2 linked regions of the Astyanax mexicanus genome follow. The protein of the gene in region 1 purifies or fractionates together with the protein of each later gene. This does not show direct contact. Links are inferred from orthologs where the notes say so. Each region holds a gene or a part of one and is shown in the gene's direction. Other genes may lie near its edges. The genes, in order: mtor and akt1s1.

Evidence for each region.
Region 2: the proteins of mtor (region 1) and akt1s1 purify together in Homo sapiens (affinity purification with western blotting; 8 studies listed by BioGRID and IntAct, with this or other methods). This does not show direct contact. The link is inferred for Astyanax mexicanus from reciprocal best matches to the Homo sapiens genes MTOR and AKT1S1.

Annotation. Positions count from the first base shown.
Region 1 is NC_064419.1:17,747,617-17,759,789, forward strand, and holds the start of mtor (serine/threonine-protein kinase mTOR), read left to right. Parts: upstream 1-5,682; 5' UTR 5,683-5,747; intron 5,748-7,458; 5' UTR 7,459-7,490; coding exon 7,491-7,610; intron 7,611-7,804; coding exon 7,805-7,913; intron 7,914-9,309; coding exon 9,310-9,542; intron 9,543-9,797; coding exon 9,798-9,998; intron 9,999-10,445; exon of another isoform or gene 10,446-10,518; intron 10,519-11,490; coding exon 11,491-11,625; intron 11,626-11,825; coding exon 11,826-12,101; intron 12,102-12,173. UniProt on the Homo sapiens protein: Serine/threonine protein kinase which is a central regulator of cellular metabolism, growth and survival in response to hormones, growth factors, nutrients, energy and stress signals.
Region 2 is NC_064426.1:17,847,087-17,859,505, forward strand, and holds the start of akt1s1 (proline-rich AKT1 substrate 1), read left to right. Parts: upstream 1-7,289; 5' UTR 7,290-7,405; exon of another isoform or gene 7,406-7,409; intron 7,410-9,353; 5' UTR 9,354-9,616; coding exon 9,617-10,009; intron 10,010-11,523; coding exon 11,524-11,779; intron 11,780-12,419. Other genes in the region: tbc1d17 (TBC1 domain family member 17), read right to left, coding at 1,407-1,524, 1,634-1,711, 3,169-3,264, 5,019-5,039. UniProt on the Homo sapiens protein: Negative regulator of the mechanistic target of rapamycin complex 1 (mTORC1), an evolutionarily conserved central nutrient sensor that stimulates anabolic reactions and macromolecule biosynthesis to promote cellular biomass generation and growth.

The DNA of each region.
Region 1 (12,173 bases):
TAAGGCTATATTTACACTGTTAAAGGATTAAAAAGTATATAGGAACTGGGTAGGTGCTGGCCAGTGTTGGTTCTTACATATGCAATGTTCTTTTTCTCGTCGGTTTGGTCGCTTTTTGTAAACTCCTTTCTTACTGCTGGGATTCAGCATCTCTGGGAAGTGACTTGCGAACATTTGAAATAAACCATATTTAATTAAAAGTGTCTTTTTGTGTGTGTAATTTAAAGAATAAGTTTTGTAGAAAAACATAATATGTGCTATTAAACACAGGTGCATTTTAGCATGGCTGAAGTTTAGAATATAAACATGGAGCAAATATTCATATTTAGGGAATTTCTGTAGTTTATTCTGTAAATTAAATGTCTGTAATTAAAACAGAGCAACTAGTCCTGCCTTATACAGTCTTGTGCAAAAAAAAAAAAAATTACACCAGTAGTTTGCCGACTCTGACCCGAATTAATTGTATTTTATTGTATAGTAATTTTAAGACCATGATATTTTAGTAGTATTTGTACCACTGACATATCGATCATCCTGAAGCACAATAATATATTTACACCTTACTCTTAAAAACAGGAAAAAAAGGTTCTTATCACTAAGATAATGCTTAGATGTTTGAGCAGGCTTCACACTGAGCACTGGAAAACTGGGCAAACAGCTTTTTAATGATTAAAATGTTTAAAACATAAAATGCTTGAAAAATCCTTAATAAATAAAACAATAAAACACTTTTTAGGTAAACACTTTTTTACATTAATGAGTAAACAGATTGGGCAATATTGAGGTTAAAAACAAAAATGGCTACATATTGTATGACAAATCTGTGATGTCATTATAACAGGCCTTGTCCAGATTAATTAATGGGTGTTTAAATCTGTAGCGTTTTCACACAGGAAAAAATCCAGGCACACCAATCACAAAAAAATATTAAAGCTATTTAACTAGAATATAAGATCAATCATTAATTAAAGAGTGTTTCCCAAACCCTTACATAACTTAAGTAGTACGTAAACTCACTCGCAAATTAATTGTTTCCATGGTATATTATAATATTACTTTATATTACATTATATTATAATGATATCACATGTCTGTAGCTTGTAGTCTAATTAGGCACTTTTGAATTAACCACTAAAACCCAAGCATAACTTATTCAAATCCAGATTGGCGATGGTAGAGCTCGACATCAATGCTGCAATAAATGCAATCAGTGAATTCCTGCAGACAACTGGTGATGGTCACAGTCTAAGCAAAGCTGCTGTCTCCAAGTCTGTGCATTCTCTAACTGGGTCATGCATGCACCATGTTAATTTCCCACTGGGCAGAGAATTACAGGACAGCAAAATACATTTCCATGACTTTGGGAACACCCCAGGTACTGTAGGTCCAAAACATGGGATGCCTATCCCTATACACACGCCCAACACAATCCCACTGATTCTGCGGTGAATGTGCAGGTAATATATAATTCACAAAGGCTTTTAATGACATTGTGACCATTTATCTGGGCAAACTCTGAGTTTTGTCAGCTTGCAACAATATATATATAGTACCAGTCAAAAGTTTAATGAACAGGTATGAAATTATGTAGTAAACAGTAAAAACTCAGGTGTTGGTTTGGTGGGCATTGAGCTAGAGCTTCACAGCAGGAAGTAAAAGCAGCAACTATAGTTCAGCACCTCCAGGAACTCCTTTAAGATGCTGAGAACTATTCCAGGTGACTCTACCTCATGAAGACACTGAGATTAAAATACCAAGATAGATAATAAAATACCAAGATAATGGAATACAAAAAGTGTGCAGATCTGTCCTTAAATAAATGTTACTGAGAAGAATCTAAAGTATAAAACATATTCTGTATTGATTAGAACTTTTTGTTCGGCATGAGCTCCTGTATAGTTTTAATGTCGATTTTAAATTTACAATGTAAAAAATCATAAAAAGAAGAAATAAACGCATTGAGTGAGAAAAGGCGTGTCCAAACTTTTGACTGGTACTGTAAATATTTGTGTTATTTATTTAGTCATTTATGTGTTTAAGAGTATTTTACAAGGCCTAAGTACGTCGGATTTTTTTTTTATTTCAGAATATGCTTAAGGATGTTGATTACAACACATTTCTATGGTTTTTGGGCGTAATAGTGAATACATGTTCTATATTTGCCAGTGCTGAATTGATGTTTGTGGGCTGTTTAGGGGGAGGAGTCAACAAAGATGTTCTTTTAACTCGTTTAATTTTCGATTTGCAAAGCTCTTTGGGAAGAAAAACTTACAGAACTGGCTCAATCTTTTCTCATATCATGCATTAGTTTGTTTGTTATTCGGTAAGTTTGATGTTTTTTGGGAAACGCACCCTATAGATGCTTGGGGCGGGAACAAGAAAAGTAAATACAGGGAGTTCACAGTAAAAACTGATTGAAAAGCACTTTGAAAGATGATTTTTATTTTTATTTGATTAGATAATTGATTGATGGGTAATGAACAAATTGGAAGATTTTGATATATTAATCATAGCCACATTTTATTATTTAACATTGAATTGTGTTAATATAAGGCATTTTTGTTACTCGTCTTTAAAGGTACAGTAAATTTTTTATACAGATAAGTTTTTTTTTATTCACTCTGTGACTGCTACAGAAGGAAAGACTTTGCCCTCACAACATTCCAATATTAAAGATTCAGACATTTATATTGTTAGGTACACTACCGTTCAAAAGTTTGGGGTCACTCAAACAATTTTGTGTTTTCCATGAAAAGTCACACTTATTCACCACCATACGTTGTGAAATGAATAGAAAATAGAGTCAAGACATTGACAAGGTTAGAAATAATGATTTGTATTTGAAATAACATTGTTTTTACATCAAACTTTGCTTTCATCAAAGAATCCTCCATTTGCAGCAATTACAGCACTGCACACCTTTGGCATTCTAGCTGTTGATTTGTTGAGGTAAGCTGGAGAAATTGCACCCCACGCTTCTAGAAGCAGCTCCCACAAGTTGGATTGGTTGGATGGGCACTTCTGGCGTACCATACGGTCAAGCTGCTCCCACAACAGCTCAATGGGGTTCAGATCTGGTGACTGCGCTGGCCACTCCATTACCAATAGAATACCAGTTGCCTGCTTCTGCTGTAAATAGTTCTTGCACAATTTGGAGGTGTGTTTAGGGTCATTGTCCTGTTGTAGGACGAAATTGGCTCCGATCAGGTGCTGTCCACTGGGTATGGCATGGCATTGCAAAATGGAGTGATAGCCTTCCTTATTCAGAATCCCTTTTACCCTGTACAAATCTCCCACCTTACCAGCACCAAAGCAACCCCAGACCATCACATTACCTCCACCATGCTTAACAGATGGCGTCAGGCATTCTTCCAGCATCTTTTCATTTGTTCTGCGTCTCACAAACGTTCTTCTTTGTGATCCAAACACCTCAAACTTGGATTCATCCTACCACAACACTTTTTTCCAGTCTTCCTCTGTCCAATGTCTGTGTTCTTTTGCCCATCTTAATCTTTTTCTTTTATTAGCCAGTCTCAGATATGGCTTTTTCTTTGCCACTCTGCCCTGAAGCCCAAAATCCTGCAGCCGCCTCTTCACTGTAGATGTTGACACTGGTGTTTTGCGGGTACTATTTAATGAAGATGCCAGTTGGGGACCTGTGAAGCGTCTGTTTCTCAAACTAGAGACTCTAATGTACTTATCTTCTTGCTTAGTTGTGCAACGCGGCCTCCCACTTCTTTTTCTACTCTGGTTAGAGCCTGTTTGTGCTGTCCTCTGAAGGGAGTAGTACACACCGTTGTAGGAAATCTTCAATTTCTTAGCAATTTCTCGCATGGAATAGCCTTCATTTCTAAGAACAAGAATAGACTGTCGAGTTTCAGATGAAAGTTCTCTTTTTCTGGCCATTTTGAGCGTTTAATTAACCCCACAAATGTGATGCTCCAGAAACTCAATCTGCTCAAAGGAAGGTCAGTTTTGTAGCTTCTGTAATGAGCTAGACTGTTTTCAGGTGTGTGAACATGATTGCACAAGGGTTTTCTAATCATCAATTAGCCTTCTGAGCCAATGAGCAAACACATTGTACCATTAGAACACTGGAGTGATAGTTGCTGGAAATGGGCCTCTATACACCTATGTAGATATTGCACCAAAACCAGACATTTGCAGCTAGAATAGTCATTTACCACATTAGCAATGTACAGAGTGTATTTGTTTAAAGTTAGGACTAGTTTAAAGTTATCTTCATTGAAAAGTACAGTGCTTTTCCTTCAAAAATAAGGACGTTTCAATGTGACCCCAAACTTTTGAACGGTAGTGTATATAATTCATTTTCTTATTACAAAAACTACTTATTGCACCTTTAAAGCTCCACTAGGTAGGATGGAGATTTTGTGCTCGTGGGCTCCCCCTACAGTTGTAGAGTGTAATAAATGTTTCAGGTGATTAGTTTCTCTTTCTTGTTTTCACAGACATATTCGGTCTCTTTCCAGCTTGTGCCAGAGTGTGTGTATGTTAGTTTGTAAAGAATTAACCACTAGTCCTTGTAGAACTGTTAGAATTAAAGTTCAGAAAGCAGGTCGCAGTTCTCGGAAAACTTACAGAGTCTGGTTTAAGCTCAGAGGATCCCGGCACAGACACGCACCTCAATGCAGCACTGCAGTGAGTTTCAAGCTGTAATTTTACTTCTTTAAAAAGATGAAAAATCAAGGAAATCCTACCTAGTGCTGCTTTAAGTCACTGTTGCAATCCATTAAAATTAGATTTTATAAAAGCTACTGTTTATGAAACAAATCAGTTCATATACAAATCTATTATTAATTCAAAAGCATTTTTATCAACCCTTTTTTTTACGCTCTGGTGCATAGCGGTCACTACAGTGGAAAGCTGTTTAAATGATATTTTCTCCTAAACGCAGTGATTTCTATGGTGGAATTGCATATCAGCCCTTAGAATGTTCTCTACTGCCCCCTTCCATTGAGGTTCATTCACTGGTTAATTGTTGTAACTACAAGTGAGCATCACTGGAATCCAAGATGGGTGGCAGACAGACATTGTTGACCATTACTGAAATATCCTGTCAATCCTTATATTATAGAAGAACCCTATTTGGTTACCATTCAATAAATTTTGGGTATATCTATAAATTATTATTATTTTTTTTTTTTGCAGATAAGTTGTACTTTGTGTTGATCTTTTTTTGAAAAATATCTTTTTGTCATTTTTGGTTGCAATTCCATTCATTTTAGGCTTGCCACCTTTTCTAGCACACAATGTAATATGTGCTCATGGATGTATAATAAAACTCAGATCGATTCATTCTTCCATTAAGTTTAAACTGTTAATGTTGGGTGCTTAATCGCATGTATTCCACTGTGGTGGTCTGTACATTCCTGAAAAAAAAAAAAAAAAAAAACATTTTTGAGGAAAAAAGACAAAAAAAGAATATTGACTCTACTGATTGACAAGAAAGGCCCTTTGGCTATCTTCATTCTGTCACTGAAAGGAGAATGCTGTGATTGGTTGAATCCATCTCTAGTCCAGCCCTATTTGTGATTAAACAACAAATCCCGAGCGGCTTCCTGTGCGCTGGTCGGTTTTACCGGCTTCTGAATGGCTGATTAATCTGTCACTCATTGCCAAGCCTCAGCCTATTGGTGGACTGGGTCCTGCTAGGTAAAAACCCCGCCCAGTATTCCTCTGCAGCCTTGCGAACAGAACATCTTCAGAGGAGAGAGAACACAGTAAAAGTAAGAGCTGTCTGTCTGTTTTAACCGGTTTAACAGCTGCGGTTTTATCGTGCTTCTGCTTCAGGTTTAATTTAACTGTTACTGAGCTTTAAATTATCTCCGTAAACGGCTTACAGCACAGCTAAGACTAAGACTAAGACTGAGACTGAGACTGACTGGGCTCCAGGCTAACTGTAGCACATTAGGCTAGTCCAGAGTTAGCAGGTTTTCCCGGCTGTGGGAGTTTAAACAGGTCAGGAAAGTGACCGGTAACCGCTTTAACCAGAGCTCAGATATACCCGCTCCCTCTCAGCCGCTGCCGCTTTACACAGTTCAGCCCTTTTTAAGGTTATCTTCAGGCCACAGCATTTAATTTTACATGGCAAGTTTGAGGCTAGCTGGCAGGCTAACTGCTATACCCATAACAATGTGTGCGTGACCCGTGTTACAGCAGAACGCTGCACTGTGTGTATGGTATGGCTATGACAACATTTCTATTTAACACACGTTTAGTTAAGCTACGTTAGCTTAACTACTTAACTCTAGCTGCATTAGTTATGGCTAAAATACGTTTGGGCAAACCACAAAGGTTACAGCATGTGAAGACTTAAAAGTGTCTATCTGTTTAATAAATCGTTCCCTCAATTTAACAGGTTCGTTTTTCTCAAGTTTTAATATTGTCCTTTTCATATACTAAACTGTTTTCTTAATTTAATAAATTGTTCTGTCAGTATAACAAATCCTTCCCTTGATTCATCAATCTGTTTCTCTCAGTTCTAATAAATTGTTTTCTCAGCTAAAATATGTTCCATTAATTCAGTAGGTTAAATAATTCCTTTGATTACAAAATCTCTTCCCTCAGCTGAACTGAAAATCCAGTTCATTCCTCATTATTTTAAAGAAAAGTGGCGGTACAGTGCTTATTTACTATTCGTTTCTATGCATTAGGTATGGCTAAAAAAGCATTATGACAAAACACATAGGTTACATTATAAAGGTACTTACAGTGCTTTCTTTGTTTAATTAATTCTTTCCTAAATTAAGCCATCTGTTTTTCTTATCAATTTAATAAACAATTCTTTCAATTTAGTAAGTTGTTCCTTTAATGTAAAGAATTTCCTAAATTTGATCATTTATTCCCTTAATGTAAAGAAAATAAGAATTCCCTCGATTTAACTATATTTTCCCTCAATTAGATAAACTATTCCCTCAATGTAATAAAGAATGACCTTGATTTAACAATCTGTTCCCTTAATTTAATAAAATGTACCCTAAGCTTAATAATTTGCTCTGTCAATTTAGTAAACGTTTACTCTATTAGCAAAACAAAATCTGCCCCCTTAATTTAATAAGTTCTTCAAGTGTCCCCTCAGAGTCACTGATTTATAAAATTACGTTATTAAATTAAATTCCAGACCAATATATTTAAAGGTATGTTGATCGTTTCATTGCTTTAAAGGTGATATGCATTGGTTTTTCTGAATATTTGAATATGTGTAACGTGTAGATTTCACTGCATTAATTCTCTACCACATACATGGGATCTTGGATCTGCAAATAAGACGAGTATCTTTGGTCAGCAATTTTTCTTTGAGATTTTCATTTAAAGTTATTATAGGCCGAACTATAATTTTGGTGAACGATAAATGGCTGATGGAAAGAACACCTAACCCAAGTTGTTCATACATGCATAACAAACAAAATGTTTCTTCTTGTCTTCCCGTTTTTGCAGAGACCGCAGGTAGCGGTACTTCTGCTGCCAGCATGTCGGGCACAGCTACAGTGCTGCAGCAGTTCGTGAGTGGCCTCAAGAGTCGGAATGAGGACACAAGGGCCAAAGCTGCTAAAGACCTCCAGCATTATGTCACTACAGAGCTGAGAGAAGTATGGAACAGTATAAATGCAACTGTTGCTTAAAAGTCTGTTGTTGCGAATAATGAAAGCAAAATGGGGGTAAAATATGAGGCGATGTGTAATGTTTTGGCTACACTAGCATATTTGTTTTGTAGAATTCTGTTGAAATTGGTCTAAGCTATCGTATACTAACCCTCGTCACCTCTGTGTTCTTTACATTAAAGTTAAGCCAAGATGAAGCCACCACTTTCTATGATGAGCTGAATCACCACATATTTGAGCTGGTCTCCAGCTCTGATGTAAATGAGAAAAAGGGCGGTATTCTTGCTATTGGTGAGTATGACTTCATTCTTTTGACAATCCATTGCACTTAGTACAGTGTTATGCACAGTTTATGGACACTCATCTCATACAGGAATATTATTGCTATGTTGGTCAGTCAGTTATTTACTTTAACTGTTATTTTCTCATGCAGATTGAGTGTACAACATATATGTATTGTACATTTCACATTTGGTGACAACAGAAGCTTTCAGAATTACAAATACAGGGTAGAGAAAGACCGATAAATCTGTTTGGGGACGATTTCATTTATCGATTGTCTTTCAGCTCAATATCAATCTTTAGCTGGGCCAAATGCCACATTAATACCGCTGAGAAGCCAGGCAAACTTGGTACAGATTCCCCTGATTATGGCCACCTCTAAGCAAACATTGGAAATACAACCTGACTGTAAATAAATGGATTTATATGTGCATAAAATAGTTTTAGTTTTATATTTGTTTTTGTTTACTTAGACACCAATTCTGCAGGAATGGGTATCCTAACATGCCTGTTTTCTGGCGTTATCTTACTTCTTAAAATAACCTACATTTACTGTAAAAAAATATAACTAAAAATCTGAATATGATTGTTTTAGCTTTTTGACTCCTGCAGCTGCTGTACTTCTGCAGCGTTTGGTGGTGTGTGTGGTTAGCTAGTTAGCTCTGCTACTCACTGATTTGGCTGTAATATTACTGTGGAGAGCGGTATTATCCGGTTAGTGGAGTTAACATCTTTATTCTGTTCCACCACGAGGCACGTTAGTCCTACACATATAAACTGTAGAAACCCACACTCGACTAAGTTGAGCTGAGTCTGTAGCTGGTCTGGCTGCTGACGAGAGTCTTGCTGCAGCCTGCTGGAATGCAGGGTTCCTTGAGGGAGTTGCACCTAGTGGCTGGACAAGGTACTGCAGCTTCCTGTGGCCAAACTGTCCCAACAGTGATCCACACAGTAGCGCTGCAGTGTTCAACTTAGCTCCCAAAACGGATCGGCTGAATCAGAGAAATATTGAACTTCCCATCTCTAATACAGGGTCAAAAATGTACACTGCCATGACAATCGTCATGGGGCTGGAACTAGTGTAATGTCCCATGAGCTAAAGAATGCTCCATTGACCTGTAGGATATGCTTTTGGGGTATCTTTCATTGAATGTGGATGTGATTTCTGCCAGTGTCACTTATTTCTAGTCAATTCTGCTGGTGGCGATTATAACCACCTGCTGCTCTGTCCACTGTAAATGATAATTCCTTCTGTAATCATTTTGGATTTTACATGTTTTGCTATATTTATCCAAACAGACCTCCTACAAAATACCTAAAACATCATTCTGATAAGGTATCAGTTGGAACAGGAATTAATTCAGGGAATCCAGTTACAGTGATTACTTTTTTTGCTCTCTTTTAGTGAGCTTGATCGGAGTTGAGGGGGGCAATGCCACCAGGATCAGCCGTTTCGCCAACTACCTGCGCAACCTGCTGCCCTCCAGTGACTCTGTGGTCATGGAAATGGCCTCTAAAGCCATGGGGCATCTGTCTATGGCGGGGGACACGTTCACTGCTGAGTATGTGGAGTTTGAAGTAAAGAGGGCTCTGGAGTGGCTGGGAGCAGACAGGAATGAGGGTCGTCGTCATGCAGCGGTAACCAATTAAATGCTTTTCTTCATATTTTGTTAGTTTACAGCACTTACTCTGTTATTATCAGATCATATTTAGCAGGAGGGCTGTTGACTCTCCTGTTTTTACATTTCAACGTGTTGAGAGGCATGTATTATGTATTATCAGGTTGGTAGAATCGACACTCTGTATGCATAAAACATTCCTTACATCAGTATTACTGCGATTGTAGACTATAATGTGTTTTGACTGGATTCTATTACAATGTCCATTGTGCAGGTGCTGGTATTGCGGGAACTGGCCGTCAGCGCACCCACCTTCTTCTTCCAGCAGGTGCAGCCATTTTTCGACAACATCTTCTATGCAGTGTGGGACTCTAAGCAGGCCATTCGCGAGGGGGCAGTTTCTGCCCTCCGGGCCTGCCTGATCCTCACGACTCAGAGAGAGACCAAGGAGATGCAGAAGCCTCAGTGGTACAAGGTAAGCTCTATAGGTCACCTGAGACTGTATTTATACTAATGAAATTGCCATGAACATAACAACCCAGCATTTTTAGAACTATTGTCTATCTGTTTTGCTTGTGCCATACTGTTGGTTGCCATGCCATGGACAAAGCTGGATATTAAAGAATGTCTTGCCAAATACAGTACCAAACAAAAGTTTGGACATGTCTCAAAGTTTTCTCAAGTTTTTTCATTATTTAAAAAGACTATTGTCATCCATTCTATGACGATAAACATGGCATTTTTAGTAAACAAAAAGGGTTAAACAAGCCAGAATATATTTTATAATTTAGATTCTTCAAAGTAGCACCTCTTAAGGGGTGCCTTGTGCTCCAGTGGTCTAAACAGCTGCCACTATGAGCTGGTTTGAATCCTGGTCATGCAGCTTGGCCCTGCACAATTGGCCTTGCCTGCATGCATATCATGACCCAGATGGGGCTCGAACCCACAATCCTCAGCTCCGAAGGCTGATGCCTTATCCATTAGGCCACTGGGCCTTGCCCTGTCTGGGTGGGTAGATGGCGCTCTTTCCCCTCAACACCCGTAGGGTGATGTCGGGGTGTCTGTAAGCTGATGTATCAGCACCGAGTCGCTGCACTTTCCTCCGAGTGCACTGTGATACTACTCAGCAATGCTGCATCAGCAGCAGTTCAAAAAGAGGCGGTGGCTGACTTCACATGTGTCGGAGGAGGCATGTGCTAGTCTTCACCTTCCTTGTGTTGTGGCATCACTAGTGATGAGGACAGCTGTGTAGCAGCTGAATGGGTGCGGTAATTGGGAGAAAAAAGAAAAAAAAAAAAGAAAAAAAAAGAAGCACCTCAGATGACAGCTTAGATGACAGATTTGCACATTGCGAAGACCATCAAAAGTTAAGATGAAACTGGCTCCCATCAGGACCGCACCAGAAAAGGAAGACCAAGAGTTACATCTGTTGCACAGAATAAGTTCATCAGAGTAACCAGCCTTAAAAACTGCGAGTTAACAGAACCTCAGATTAGAGCACTTAAATGCTTCACAGGGTATTCTTAGGTGGTTTGTTTAACACTTTTAAATTACTACATGATTCCTTTGTTCATGGATAGTCTGGGTGACTTTAGTATTAATTTACAATGTACAGAACAAAAAAAATAAAACATTGAATGACAAAGTGTTCAAACTTTTGTCTGGTACTGTATATTTGCAAGGTTCAGACTAAAGGGTTATCTGAACACGTCACTTCTTCCTCTGAAAGTGTGGCACATTTGGTGGTGTCAAATCTGTTTAGAAGGTTGGAAACTTTAAAAATTGTTTGTGCTGCTTAAAATATATAACCAAGGAGGATAATTGCAAAGCACAAAGTGGGTAAGGCTAGTGCGTATCCTTTTGCAAAGTTTGTGAGAAATGTGACATTTTGTAGCTGAGCTTTGTGTGTGGATTAAATGTGTGAAATTGATTAGTTGCTTCAACTCAATTTGAAATTATTTTCACAGCAAACCTTTGAAGAGGCAGAGAAAGGTTTTGACGAGTCCCTGGCCAAAGAGAAAGGTATGAACAAGGACGACAGGGTCCACGGAGCCTTGCTGATTCTGAATGAGCTGGTCCGCATCAGCAGCATGGAGGGGGAGGTAAGCAGATTCTTAATCTGAACGACAAGTACAAGTACATAACAAACTTTTTCATTTAATCACAATAAAAGTCATAGTCACTTTAGATTCACAGTAGGTTTGACAATATAAAATTGCCACTTAGTTGAGTGGGAGGGGGTCTTGTCCTCCTGTGTCTCATGTACTCTCCTGTCTTGCCTCACACTCTCTCTCCTTTTCAGCGGATGCGAGAAGAAATGGACGAGATTACTCAGCAACAGCTGGTTCATGACAAGTACTGTAAGGAGCTGATGGGCTTCGGCACAAAACCACGGCACATCACTCCTTTCACCAGCTTCCAGTCAGTGCAGCCGCCCCAATCCAACGCTCTACTGGGACTTCTGGGCTACAGCAGCCCGCAGGGGTTCCTCAGCTTCGGCGCTGTGCCAGCACCATCCAAAAGCACACTGGTAGAAAGCCGCTACTGTCGAGAACTGATGGAGGAACGATTTGATCAGGTAAGTATACAGCTGTCTAAAAGAGAAAGCTTACTCCAAATCTCATTGGCCAGCCAGGACACTGCAAATACA
Region 2 (12,419 bases), on another chromosome or scaffold:
CACGCAGAACTGATGCCTAAATGGAAAGCTGATAACTGCAGTGTCTGAATTTCTAAAATAATATTTAAATGAGATTAAAACATAAATTAATAAAAAGTACAAATTAAAAATATTGTTAACATCCTAGAATCCTTCTCCTACAGTTTTTTACCAATGACTGGAGCCTTTGGCCAGGGGTTTGTGTCATCAGGTGGCCACCACCAATCACTGGCTGATTTGATCCTGAACCAGAATGCTCTCCTGCTGGAGGATCAATAGTGGTGGCCAGCCACTACACTCTTCCCCCTGACCATGATTACCAGATCAGCTCCTCCCTCTTTCTGCCACCTCCCATCAACCGTCGCACTGTCTTCTTTCTCTCCACAGGGTACAACCATGTCTGCCAGCCTCTGTCTGCCTCTTCAGTCACACATTATAGGTCTCTATAGCATTTTGATCTTCTCTCAAATGCTTCTTAACCCTAAGCTACCAAGCCTGGGCTGAATGCAAGAGGCTCGGCCTGATCTTAATGGGGCCTGGTCAAATAATTCTTTACTCATTTGTAGGGCTGGGTATCGAAATTCGCAGGCACCGACCAAAATGTAGTACCGAAAGGTTAAAAAACAAAAAAAACAAAAAAAAAAACACGACAAACGCGGAGAGTGTACACAACGATGTAAAAACAACCACGATGGCGCCCTGACACACACAATTGGAGAGCGCACGCAGAAATGTGGTGAGCCTGTTAGCGGTGATCATTCAAACTGTTGACACACTGCCGCTGTGCTAAAATCTCAGGTGCTTGCTCTGGCTAACTCGACTCTCTCTCTCTCTCTCTCTCTCTCTCCTGAAATATTAATATACAAAGATACTAATATACAGTGGGTATCGTTTTGAAATTGTCAATATCTGTATCGGTATTGAAAATTTAAGAACGATACCCAGCCCTACTCTTTTGTAGTTTCTCCATGCGTAGTGTGGTACACAGACACTATGACTGAGTCAACTTTTCTTCATTTAAACTCGCTAAACATGTGATCTCAATATTACCACCTCCTAAAACTTATTATAATCACTAATTAAAGAAAAATTACATGATTGAAATTCAAATATTCAAATATTTCTCATAATTCTCACAAAAAGGTGCCAATATTTTTTCAAGTCCACTTCTGGGGTTTTCTGTGGAATGTAATCCCATTTAACTTTTTTTTTGTTTTGTTTTTTTTGCTTTGTCCTGATGCAAAATATAGAAACAAACGAGAACCAAACGCCAAGTTTGTTTAACTGTAAAGAAATATACTGGGAGAAGTGGTGCATCTTTTGAAAGAAGTGCAGAGATGCTGGTATTTTTGGCCATTAGCGTAACTAATAACACTTTTCTGTTTCCTGGTGAGTGTGAAACTCTATAAACCGCAGATGAACAGTACCTGTGTCTCTGACGGGTGTTTTCTCTTTTTCTCGGTTCTGCTTCACTGTGCCGATAACGGCCCAGTCTGGCTCATACCCCGGGTCAAAGTTGGTTTCCTCCTCTCCTCCTTCCCCATCCTTTTATAACAACACAAAAAAGCAAAGAGAGGGATGAGGGAAAATTAAGTTATTAGGTTTAATAGAGTAAACTTCCATTCATAACGTAATGACGTAATAACGTAATAACCTTTTTGGCATAAAAGACAGCAGGTGCGTTTTTCCCATCATCCTGAACAGGGCTCCACTCCAATACTGACTCTCCATCCTGTTCGAATTTAAACATAATAGAAACACATGTAATTCTAAAACACATTTTTCCCTCTGGATTATCAATTATTTATTCAACTTTTGATGAATGGAGCAATAGAATTGCACCAAAATGACCTGAAATAAAGTCTTTATCATTGATGTCCACTGAAAGTTAAGGTATTTTCCTTCTTCTGTAAAGTTGACATTTTGGAGACTCAAGGATTTTAAATAGGACATTATTTGGCCAGCTTGATATTTGGAATTAAGAAAACTTGAAAATTTAGTTCACTGATTTTTGAGAATTTGGATTTAAAAAAATGTACCAATAAGAAAACTGTAATAAACAACAACAATTGCTTTTCATTTTTTCATTTTCATTGTGTTTCAATACAAAATCAAGAGGTTGGACTGGTACATTGAAAAACCTAGGTCTATTATGATATACCTTTAGATTTTAACTTCAAAAAGAAAACCTGTTTTATCTAAATTCTCAAGATTTATATTCCAAGAGCATCTGAGCATCATAATGCCAGAATATATCATCATATTCTCACAAAGCAGTTATTTTCTAAACATTTTTTTTATTTAAAGCAATTTTTTTAAATAATATAAACAAGCAGGATTATTTTTTAAAATATAAAACAGACTTTTATTACTCGGTTAAAAATGTAAAAAATAATCTTTTAAAGCAGCACCATGCAGGGATTTTGTAAATCTTAATTTTAAGGTATTTGGGAACATGTTAAATGCAGTAAACAAACAGTAATCATACTGTCATAGTGTGAAGAATTGTGTCTCTTAACATTTACACATATTTCTAATTATAGCATCTGTACAGGATCTAGAGTAAGTGCAACTCCCATTATTAAACTATTTTGAATTCTGTATTGTACAGCACATTATATAACGTTTATGGTATATATTTCTATCACTGTCATTTTTTGGAATATAATGGTTGTAACTGTGTAACTGCTATTGAGTTCAGGACCAATACAATACAAATACAGCTCTGGAAATAAATAAGAGACCACTTAAAAATGGGTTTTTTGAGAACTGAAAACCTCTGGAATATAATCAAGAGGAGGATGCATGATCACAAACCACTTAAACTGCTTAAATATTTCCATCAGGAGTGGCATAAGTGGACTGGTGGAGGAAAACATGCCAAAATGCGTGAAAACTGTAATAAAAACCAGGGTTATTCCACCAAATATTGATTTCTGAACTATTTAAACTTTATGAATATGAACTTGTTTTCTCTACATTATTTGAGGTCTGAAAGCTCTGCATCTTTTGTTATTTCAGCCATTTCTCATTTTCTGCAAATAAATGCTTTAAATGACTATTTTTATTTGGAATTTTTTGTATTTTTTAGAATAAAACAACAGTGTTCATTTTACTCAATTTTTTTTTTTTTTTCAGAGCTGTATTTAGATATCATTAATGTACAACTACTACCTATCAGCCCCTTACCTTCTCTACAATACGGATGAATCCAGGAATAGTTGTGTCTTGGTTACTCCTCTTGGCATTTGTGTGAAGGTAAACCCCCTCCTTCTCAAAGATCAGCTGTGATTAAACAACACACACACACATCACCTTTAAACTTCAAATGAGATTTCAGTTCAGGACAACTTAGCTCATGACTCACACTCACATGTGTGTTGGGTGAGTGGCAACACTAAGGGAAAGTACTGTTACTGAGGGTCAGCATGGCAGCTCAGTGGTGGACCTCAGTATCCACCAGGTACTGTGCCATTTCTAATGAACAAAAATATACACTGAACTGATCCAAGTTTTGACTTGAACACTTTCTTTCAATGGGCCATTCCTTGATGCAGGGCCCATATCTGCTTCAACTTTAGTTTATTTATTTATTTTTTTACACATGCAGTCTCATGTTTTCCTAAAGCATGCTCTGATACAATAAGGAAGCCATAGTAGAATCTGTCCTGGAGAGATTGCCTGGACTTCCTGCAACATAGCAGCCGCTAAACATGACATGTTAACCTTAACACTTCCATGCTTTAAAGTAGGTATGGATCATTGTGCGCAAAACCTTTGTTTGGTTTACATTAAACATACAGTTCTAGTCCAAGCTTAGACACACCTTCTCTTTTCAATGTTTTTATTTTCTACATTGTTAATGAATACACAAGTCATCCAGATTATGAAGGATCACATAAGGAATCATCTAGTAACTTAAAAGTGTTTAACAAACCAAAATACGCTGTGAAGCATTAGATGGCTCCTATCTGGGGAGCTGTTAATTTGTGATCTGATGACCCTGACCTTATCCTTATCCTTGGTCTTCCTTTCCTGGGGCAGTCCTGATGAGAGCCAGTGATTTTGATGATCTTTGCAACTGCACTTGGGGAAAAGTTCTTCAAATATTTAGGATTGACTGAGCTTCATTTCCTAAATTATTTTTTTCTTTATTTAGATCAGTAGTTCGTGCCATAATATGAATTAGAACATTACTCAAATAGAGCTATTTACTTTATACCAACTCTACCTCTTCACAACACAACTGATGCTCTCAAACACATTAAGAGGCAAGAAATTTAGTTCAGCACAGCTGTTAACTGAAAACCATTCCAGGTGACTCTACCTCATCAAGCTGATTTAGAAATTCCAGCCAAGATGTGCAAAACTAGCTCTATCTAAGCAATAGATGCTACTTTGAAAATTTTATAATATGTTTTTCTTCATAGTTTGGATGACTGTAGTATTAATTTACAATGTGTTTAATGACATTTTGTAAATAATGCTTAAACAGTTCTTTAGTTTTTTGTCTTTAGCTATATTACCTCCACATCTAAGTATTGTTTAAATGTTAAATATGATTTTATTTATGGGTGTATTAACTGGGGGTTTTAAGTGGGGGCGTTGGCACTGGAATGTCATACTTGATTCACTGATCAGACTCAATTACTCAGTGGTTTAGCTACCAGCTGCATTTAATGTACAAACTGGTCTTAACAGAGCTGACAATCAGGTTCATTTCCCTAAAACACAACGGCTCACAGGCCTGCCAACAACACCGCACTGTGACAGAGTGTTATCAGCCGTGTAAACAACCCGTTTATCTCTTTTAAACTGACCTGCCTCTCTGAAACTGAGCTAATTCTGACTTTTACTAAACTGAAACTCTTGTTTCTCAGTCTGTCTTCTCCAGCTTTCACCGTCAGACGCCACATTTTGACTCTGACACAGAAAGCAACCGATATAACAGGCACAAAGAAACCAATAACTGCTGCTATATGTCTTACCATATTTTTCAGTGTGCTAAATACTCAGTGTGTGCTGTCATTTTCACTCACCTTGCGATTTTCTGTCTCCATTCCTCGATTTTCTGCCTATCGACAGAATGTGACCAAAACAGCAGGGCTTCTTCCGCCTGCCTAGCCAAGCCTCGCCCACCAATCACATGCTCTGTCACGTGCTTTCAGTGACGTTTTGTTTACTTTGGAAAAATAAGCACATTATATTAAAATAACGTCATATTTATTTAGTTTTTTCTCACTTATATTTCATTATTTTATATTATTGTTTGGTTCTAGTGACTGAAACATAAAACAATAAAGATACTAAAAAAATATAAACAGCATAAAGACTGCGACACTGAACTGGATTAATCAGATAAGAAGATCATAATGAAGACGGCGAGGAGAGAAAGTATTACGTGTTTAGACGTCAAAATAGTTTTACATATTAAATGTATGCGAATAAATATGAATTCTATGCATCTACAACACCATAGTCCAAAAATGTATATATATATATATATATATATATATATATATATATATATATATATATATATATATATATATATATATATATTAGGAATATAACTAACTAAAAAAACTGGCCATTCACTTGCAAAAAACATCATGGACGTAGTCAATAAACAATAAAATAAATAATAAGAAAGTTTTTTATTAAAGAAAAAAAAATTATGTGGTAGTAATCATCTTAAATGGATATCATTATAACAATGCTCTTTTTGTTTAATATTTTAAAAAGTGTGCCTCCTAGCCACAACTGGAATTATTATTATTAAAATGTGTATAATATTTGCACATTAACAGCATCAAACATTAAAAAAATAAAATAACTTAAGAATAAAAGGAGCAAATGATACAAATGATATAGAAATGTAAAGCCACTGATTAACTAATGTCAGGTTTAAAACTAAATAAAAGGTAAAAGAACCCACATGTGAGTTTCCTGTATAACTGATCTGAGGTATGGAATCTGGATCTGCTGGAATTCCTGGAATTTTGTGCGAATATTCAATCACATATTGAATCACACACACTAGGGGTGGGCGATATGGCTCTAAAATAATATCACGATATTTCAGGGAATTTTTGCGATAGCGATATACTTGGCGATATAGGAAACCAGAAATAATTTGTTAATTTCAGGAATATAGTATAAAAGTTTAACAGTATAATCATAATGTGGAAAAATAAATAATATAGCATAAAATAATATAATGCAGCAAAAAATATTGCAGAACATTTAGTGCATGCATATAAACTGCAAAATTAAACAATTATACAATACATTCACTTAAGGCTTCACAGTAAATAATAGACTACTTTTAAGACAGAACATCCCTATTATCACGATATGGATTTTTAATAGCATGATATTTCTGTGTCACGATATATTGTTGTATGATATAATACTGCCCACCCCTAACACACACACACACACACACACACATATATACTATGTCATATACTATGACTGGCTTATTTACTTGCCAATTTATAAAAGATGTGGTGTACAGCATAAAAAAACATGTTACGGACATAATCTATAGTCTATTATATATTGTATTTAGTGGACTTAGCGACTTGCAAATAATGATGATGACTGCGGTTTAAAAACTAACTTTACCACAGTTGATGTACATTAGCAGTAGAAGTCGAAGGCAGAAACGTTTTAGGAGGCCAAAAGGTAATAGTCGGATAGAAAAGGAAAAGATAGGGAGCTGGGAATAAGGTTAGAAGTAGTTTATTAATTAGTATGTCATTTTTATTCAAAAATGTAAAAAATATTTAGAAATTAGTTCAGTTGTTAAACTAAATAAAAGGTAGAAGAAGAACAAAAAGTGTGTACATATATATGTTTAAAAATACGAATAACTATAAATCAAATTTATTCAGAAATCAAGCTTCCATGATACGATTCCATGATTTTATTTTTGTTTTTTATTTATAAATAATAAAGTGATAATTAGCTTATTAGTTTATTAAGAAAACACACTGAAGTGGGTCTAATCAGCATAAATTCATTGAATCTTTTTCATTTTTTAATAAATTCCTTAGCGATTCTAAATTGGGCATTTATTATCATATTCACTTTGAAATGAACCCTTTATATGAGCAGTATAAAAGCTCTGTTAATTATAAACGTCTGTGTAAATTATTAATTATAAAATTATGTTATGATAATTTTTTTTTGTGGTATATTGCGTTATCTTTATGTTAGCAGTATCCAAAATTATAAAATATAAAATAAATTCTGTACTAATATAAATTGATATGTTGCATTACGTGATGACGTGATGTGTGCGTCACCCCGCTGGAGTCTAGGGGAGAGCGAGAGAAAGAAAGGCGAACGGCATAAACAGCGCAAAAACAGCAGGTTTTACACCGTAAAGACGCTTGTGACAGAAGCGGGAGGATACTGAGTGTGTGAGTAAATTACTGGCTGTGTTTAAATGTGGGGAATTTTGTGCGTGTGTGAGAAAAGCTGCATGTTTTACCGAGAGTGAAGTTGTGAGGAGCTCAGGCTAGCTCGGTTAGCTTAGCTTAGCCTAGCGCAGCTCAAGTTGTGTGTGTGTGGCTGGTTGAGCGGAGCTGCGGGTCGGTGTAAGCTGTGAGGGTCACTGCGCTGCTGCTGGAGCTGCTGGAGGGTGAAAGGGCAGTAAGGGGGGTGTGGGAGTTTAGCAGAACCATTTCCCAGAGGATTAACACGAGGAGCACGAGGGCTGCACCAGCAAAACAGCTTAACTTACCAAACAGAGCTGTTTTCACCAACAACACTGCATTGTTCAGTTCAGCTCCTGCTCACACTACTGCTAGCTAACACTACTGCTCCTCAAAATATTCACCAGGCTTCACCCCTGTCCACAATATAAGTGATTTAACCCATTTACAGGGTTTGGAACGCATACAGGCGTAGATAATGTGTAGTGTAGATCATGCAAAACTGTCTTTCTCTGCAGTAAAATATGATATTTATATTCTGAAAACTTTGAGGGTTTTGAAGAGTCCTACAGGTTACATGGAAAAGCTTCCTTTTCACCATCTACTCCAATTTCAGATCAGTAACAGGAATCAAACCCAGATTCTAAATATTTGAAAATAGTAGGGCTGCAATGATTAGTCGATATAATCGAGAGTATCAATTATTTAAATTTGTCGAAAACAAATTTCATTGTCACTTATCTTAATTTGTAACAGTAACGCATTACACAAAGTGCTGGGGACAGAAGTGCAATGGGAGATGGGTAAACGGTTCACTCACACAGTTTACATTCAGCTTTAGTCTGTCTCTCCAAAAGTGCTCAACAGACAAACTCAACAGATTTAATCAGCAAATATTACTACTTTCCATGTTTGAACATCATCTAGACATTAATATGCCTTTTAAATCTCATGTTCGGCTGTTTTTATCATTTTTATAAGTAGGGGACATGGCAGAAATAATTGTTGACTAATTGACTAATGGAAAAAATAATCATCAGATTAGTTGACTACCAGAATAATCATTGATTGCAGCCCTAGAAAATAGACATAAAAACTAGACAACCTTTACAAAACGAAAGGTTTGGAGGACATTAAATGTTTGATTTGTATTCAGGAAAACACTCATTTTGTTCCAATTTTATGATTATTTATTACATTTTTAAAGTTGCTGTTTTACTTACCTTTTTGAAAAACAATTTCGAATACAATTACAATTAGACTTTGCTGTAACGTTTATTATCAAACAGCTGGTCTGAAGTACATGCTCAGGTTGAGGAGGTGAAAAAAGGTGAGGCGGTTTGCTTTTGCTGTTTTTGCAGCTATAGCTGCACAGCTTCACCAAGAGATGTGTGGGTACGAGAGAGAAGCACTTATATAGCTAATAAGCTAATATGCATAAAAGCAAAAAAGATGCATGAATTCAGATTTGACCGTTCACATTCATGTCACATGTCCATGGATTGGATACATGTCCGATCTGATTTGGCATGTTCACACAGCCATGAAAAAAAAAAAACAGATCTCAGCTACATTGAGGGAAAAAAAATCTGATTTGAGTCACTTCACGCTGGTAATGTAAATGTAGCCTAAGGGCCAGCTTGGTGCTAAGAACCTTTTGGGAAACTCAGCCCTGGATATCTGGGCTTTTGGGCTACAAAGGTGCTACAAAGGGTTCTTTAAGTGATACAACAGATACAGTAACAATTTTTGCAAAAGACCAATCTTTGTCTTTGTTGGTAAAGAACTTTTACATTGACTTCTTAAAGCCTTTTTAAATGGTCCCTTACACATACGTTTTTTTTTTTTATTACAAAATCTACATTTTAGTGCAAGAACAGACAAGAACAACCAGATCTTTCAATATAACATGTGCTTTTTTGTTTCTAGGCAACATCAGCGAGTGCCATCCTCCCGTCTCTCCCCTAGTTCTCTCCTGCATGCAGACACGGCCGTCCACTTGTGCCTCATCCAAAGTCTCATCAGCATTTACACCGAAGTAAGCTGCATTCATTTACCAAAGAAAAAGAGTAAGTAACTGCAAAGATAACCTACATAGTGCCACCTCTTGAGCATAAGAAGCATCTTGTTTGATGTGATACCAGCATCTCCACATTTCAGAAGAAAAAAAAAAATAAGATCCATATTTCACCATGGCCTCCATCACCAAATCATCTGACCTCGAGATTCCAGACAACCACAAAGAAAGTTGGCTGGCGCTCCTTGCCGCGGCCGAAGCCTACTGCCAGAAATCCGGCTGTGACCTGGCCATACTGACCGCCTGTAAAAAGTTCCTTCCCTCGGGTGTGGAGGGGGACGGAGTGAAGAAGCATGAAGGGGGTGGAGTCGTGCCCCATGGAGGCCGTAAGTGGGATTACTCATATCATGTGTGGGGTCAGGGTGCACTGGCTGAATCCTCACGGCGGTACATGGACGACATCGCTGTCCTTCACTCCACCACGGTGCTCACGGCCCACAGACACACCCGCCTCAGCTCTGGAGATGGAGGATCCAAGCTAGGTGTGGACATGCCCTCTGATAGGCCGGTGAGTGATGCATGAACTCCTCAGTCACAGTAGAGGTGGGCGATACTGCAGGAACAATTACTTTAATTTGAAGTCTGCTACACTACATTCAGTTTAACAGCACTAATAAACCTGTTTGTAATAAAACATGCGGTGCTGATGCATATAATGCACTTGCTACAGTCACTAAAAACATGAGGACACAATGAGCAGAATGGTAAAATCATTACATCACGATACACAATGTTTTGACACATAGAAAAATTATATCAGTACTAAAAAGTGAAATTTTAATTAATGTCCCTTAATTAATACATTGATTTTTACTTTAAATGTTGCAGAACTAACTACATGATTTGTAAGAAAATATGCAGTTGCTAGTGTTATACATTTTGTACATAAGCCACACTTCTAGAGTCGCTGCGGAGTGGCGTGTAGAACAGCACCAAAGAAGCAAAAACAGCTCGCAAGCTAATGGTAGAATAACGAGCTAATATACTGGAGAAATGGTAGCTCAGAGCTGAGAAAAATTGAAACAGCTGTTTATCTGAGGAGCTCCTGCTGTTGTTTCTTACTATATGACTTCGGATATGACTCGGATAGGTTTTTTCCCAAGTAAAATACAAAAACAACAGCAAGCAGCAATTATTCACTCAGAAAAGAGAAATTGTCACCCGGACCAGCACAGAATCGGTCCTGGGTAAAGAATTATTTATTCAGCAAAAGTGCTAAAATAAACTTAATACTGTAGCTTGAAGAACATTAATAATATTTATAGTCTGATTTCTTCATATACTGTGTAATTTTGTGTTACAAAGTAAACCCAATAGTAATCAAAGCCTTAATTTAAAGCCTTGGTGTTATATATTATATGTACTCCTAACAGTAGAGTAAGTCACAAATCTAAATAAAAGCCCAGTGACAACATTACACTCAATTAAAATATTAAAATAAACTAAATAAAAATATATGTCCCCATTTGAGGACATACTAAGGATGTTTTTTGCAGAAACAACCTCCTGTAAATAGACAAAGTTCAATGTTTATGAATAAATGAATGAATGAAATGATGCTGTACTCAGAACTTTTCTCTGTTGATCGATTGAGCAATTCTATTTGTCTGTTTTTTCTTCTCTGAGCGAATAATTGCCGTTTGCTGTTGTTGTTTTTCTGTAATCAAGAATTTATTGAAAGTTTTATAGATAAGTATCAGATCAGTAACAATATAGTGCATTACAAAAACGGACAATGTTTTCCTATCTTTTTTTTTAAATCCCCTCCACCTTACCCACAACCATCCATCCCCACCTGTTTGCTGTTGTTTTTATATTTTACTCGAATAAATACGCTCATACAGTGAGAAACAGCAGCAGGAGCTCCTCAGATAAAGTGCTGTTCCCGTACCCTTCATTTCTCATAACTAATCGCAAGCTAAAACTGGGTCTTATGAGGAGATATATATATATAATTATTATTCTTTTTTTTTTTCCTTTTTTTTTAATTTTATTAAATTGAGAAACTTTTTTCTTTTGCAGACCATGATTGGGGACTCAGGTTCCGTAAGCCCCAGTGCAAGGCTTTATTCTCAGAATTACCCATCGATCTACAGCCAAGCCTCAGGGATCGGCCAGCCTGTGGTTCAGCTTGGCAACGGAGAGGGAGAACGAGTGGCTCTGGAGGAGGCGGAGAGAGCAAGGGAGAGGGCAGGCATCGTGGATCTGGAGGAAGATGAGGAGGAAGGGGAGGAAGATGAAATGGACGGACGGAGACATAATCTGAATGAATCGACAGGTGAGGATGTTCGATATCAGTCGAATATTAACCAAAACCAATCCGATCCAATGTTTGGGTTTGCATAAATAATCCAGCCACACAGTTTAGGTGAGATACACTAGCCTGTAGGGGTGGAAATGTCTAAACCCTATGATTCAATCTGATTATGATTCGGAGATCTGTGAAATGATTATAAACCTATAATTGATGCGTCTTTTTCTTTTATACAGCTCTTAATTTACCTCATTGCATAACAATTTGGTACTTTTAAAGAAAAGTATCTGTAATGATCCAAAACAAGCATAGTTATTTCAATTAATAAAATGATTTCTTTACAAATATCTAGGTTTAATATTATTAGGGTAATGATTAGGCAAGCTTCTGCCACAATATTAAAACCAGCTACAAGGAAAGCAGAAACAACAGGGGCATTACACATTACATTGGCCAGCCATACATTTATATTCAGTGCTGTATTTAATGGTGTGGCTGATCTGTATTTGATCAGTGTAAGAATAAAATATAATGTAAAAAGTTATCTATTTTAATTGGCTTATTAATGCTTTATATTGTTACACACTGGAATGGGTACCCAGTGGCTTATTCAAGTAAATTTGAATAACTTTCTTTTAAATAGTATTATTAATAATTATTATTA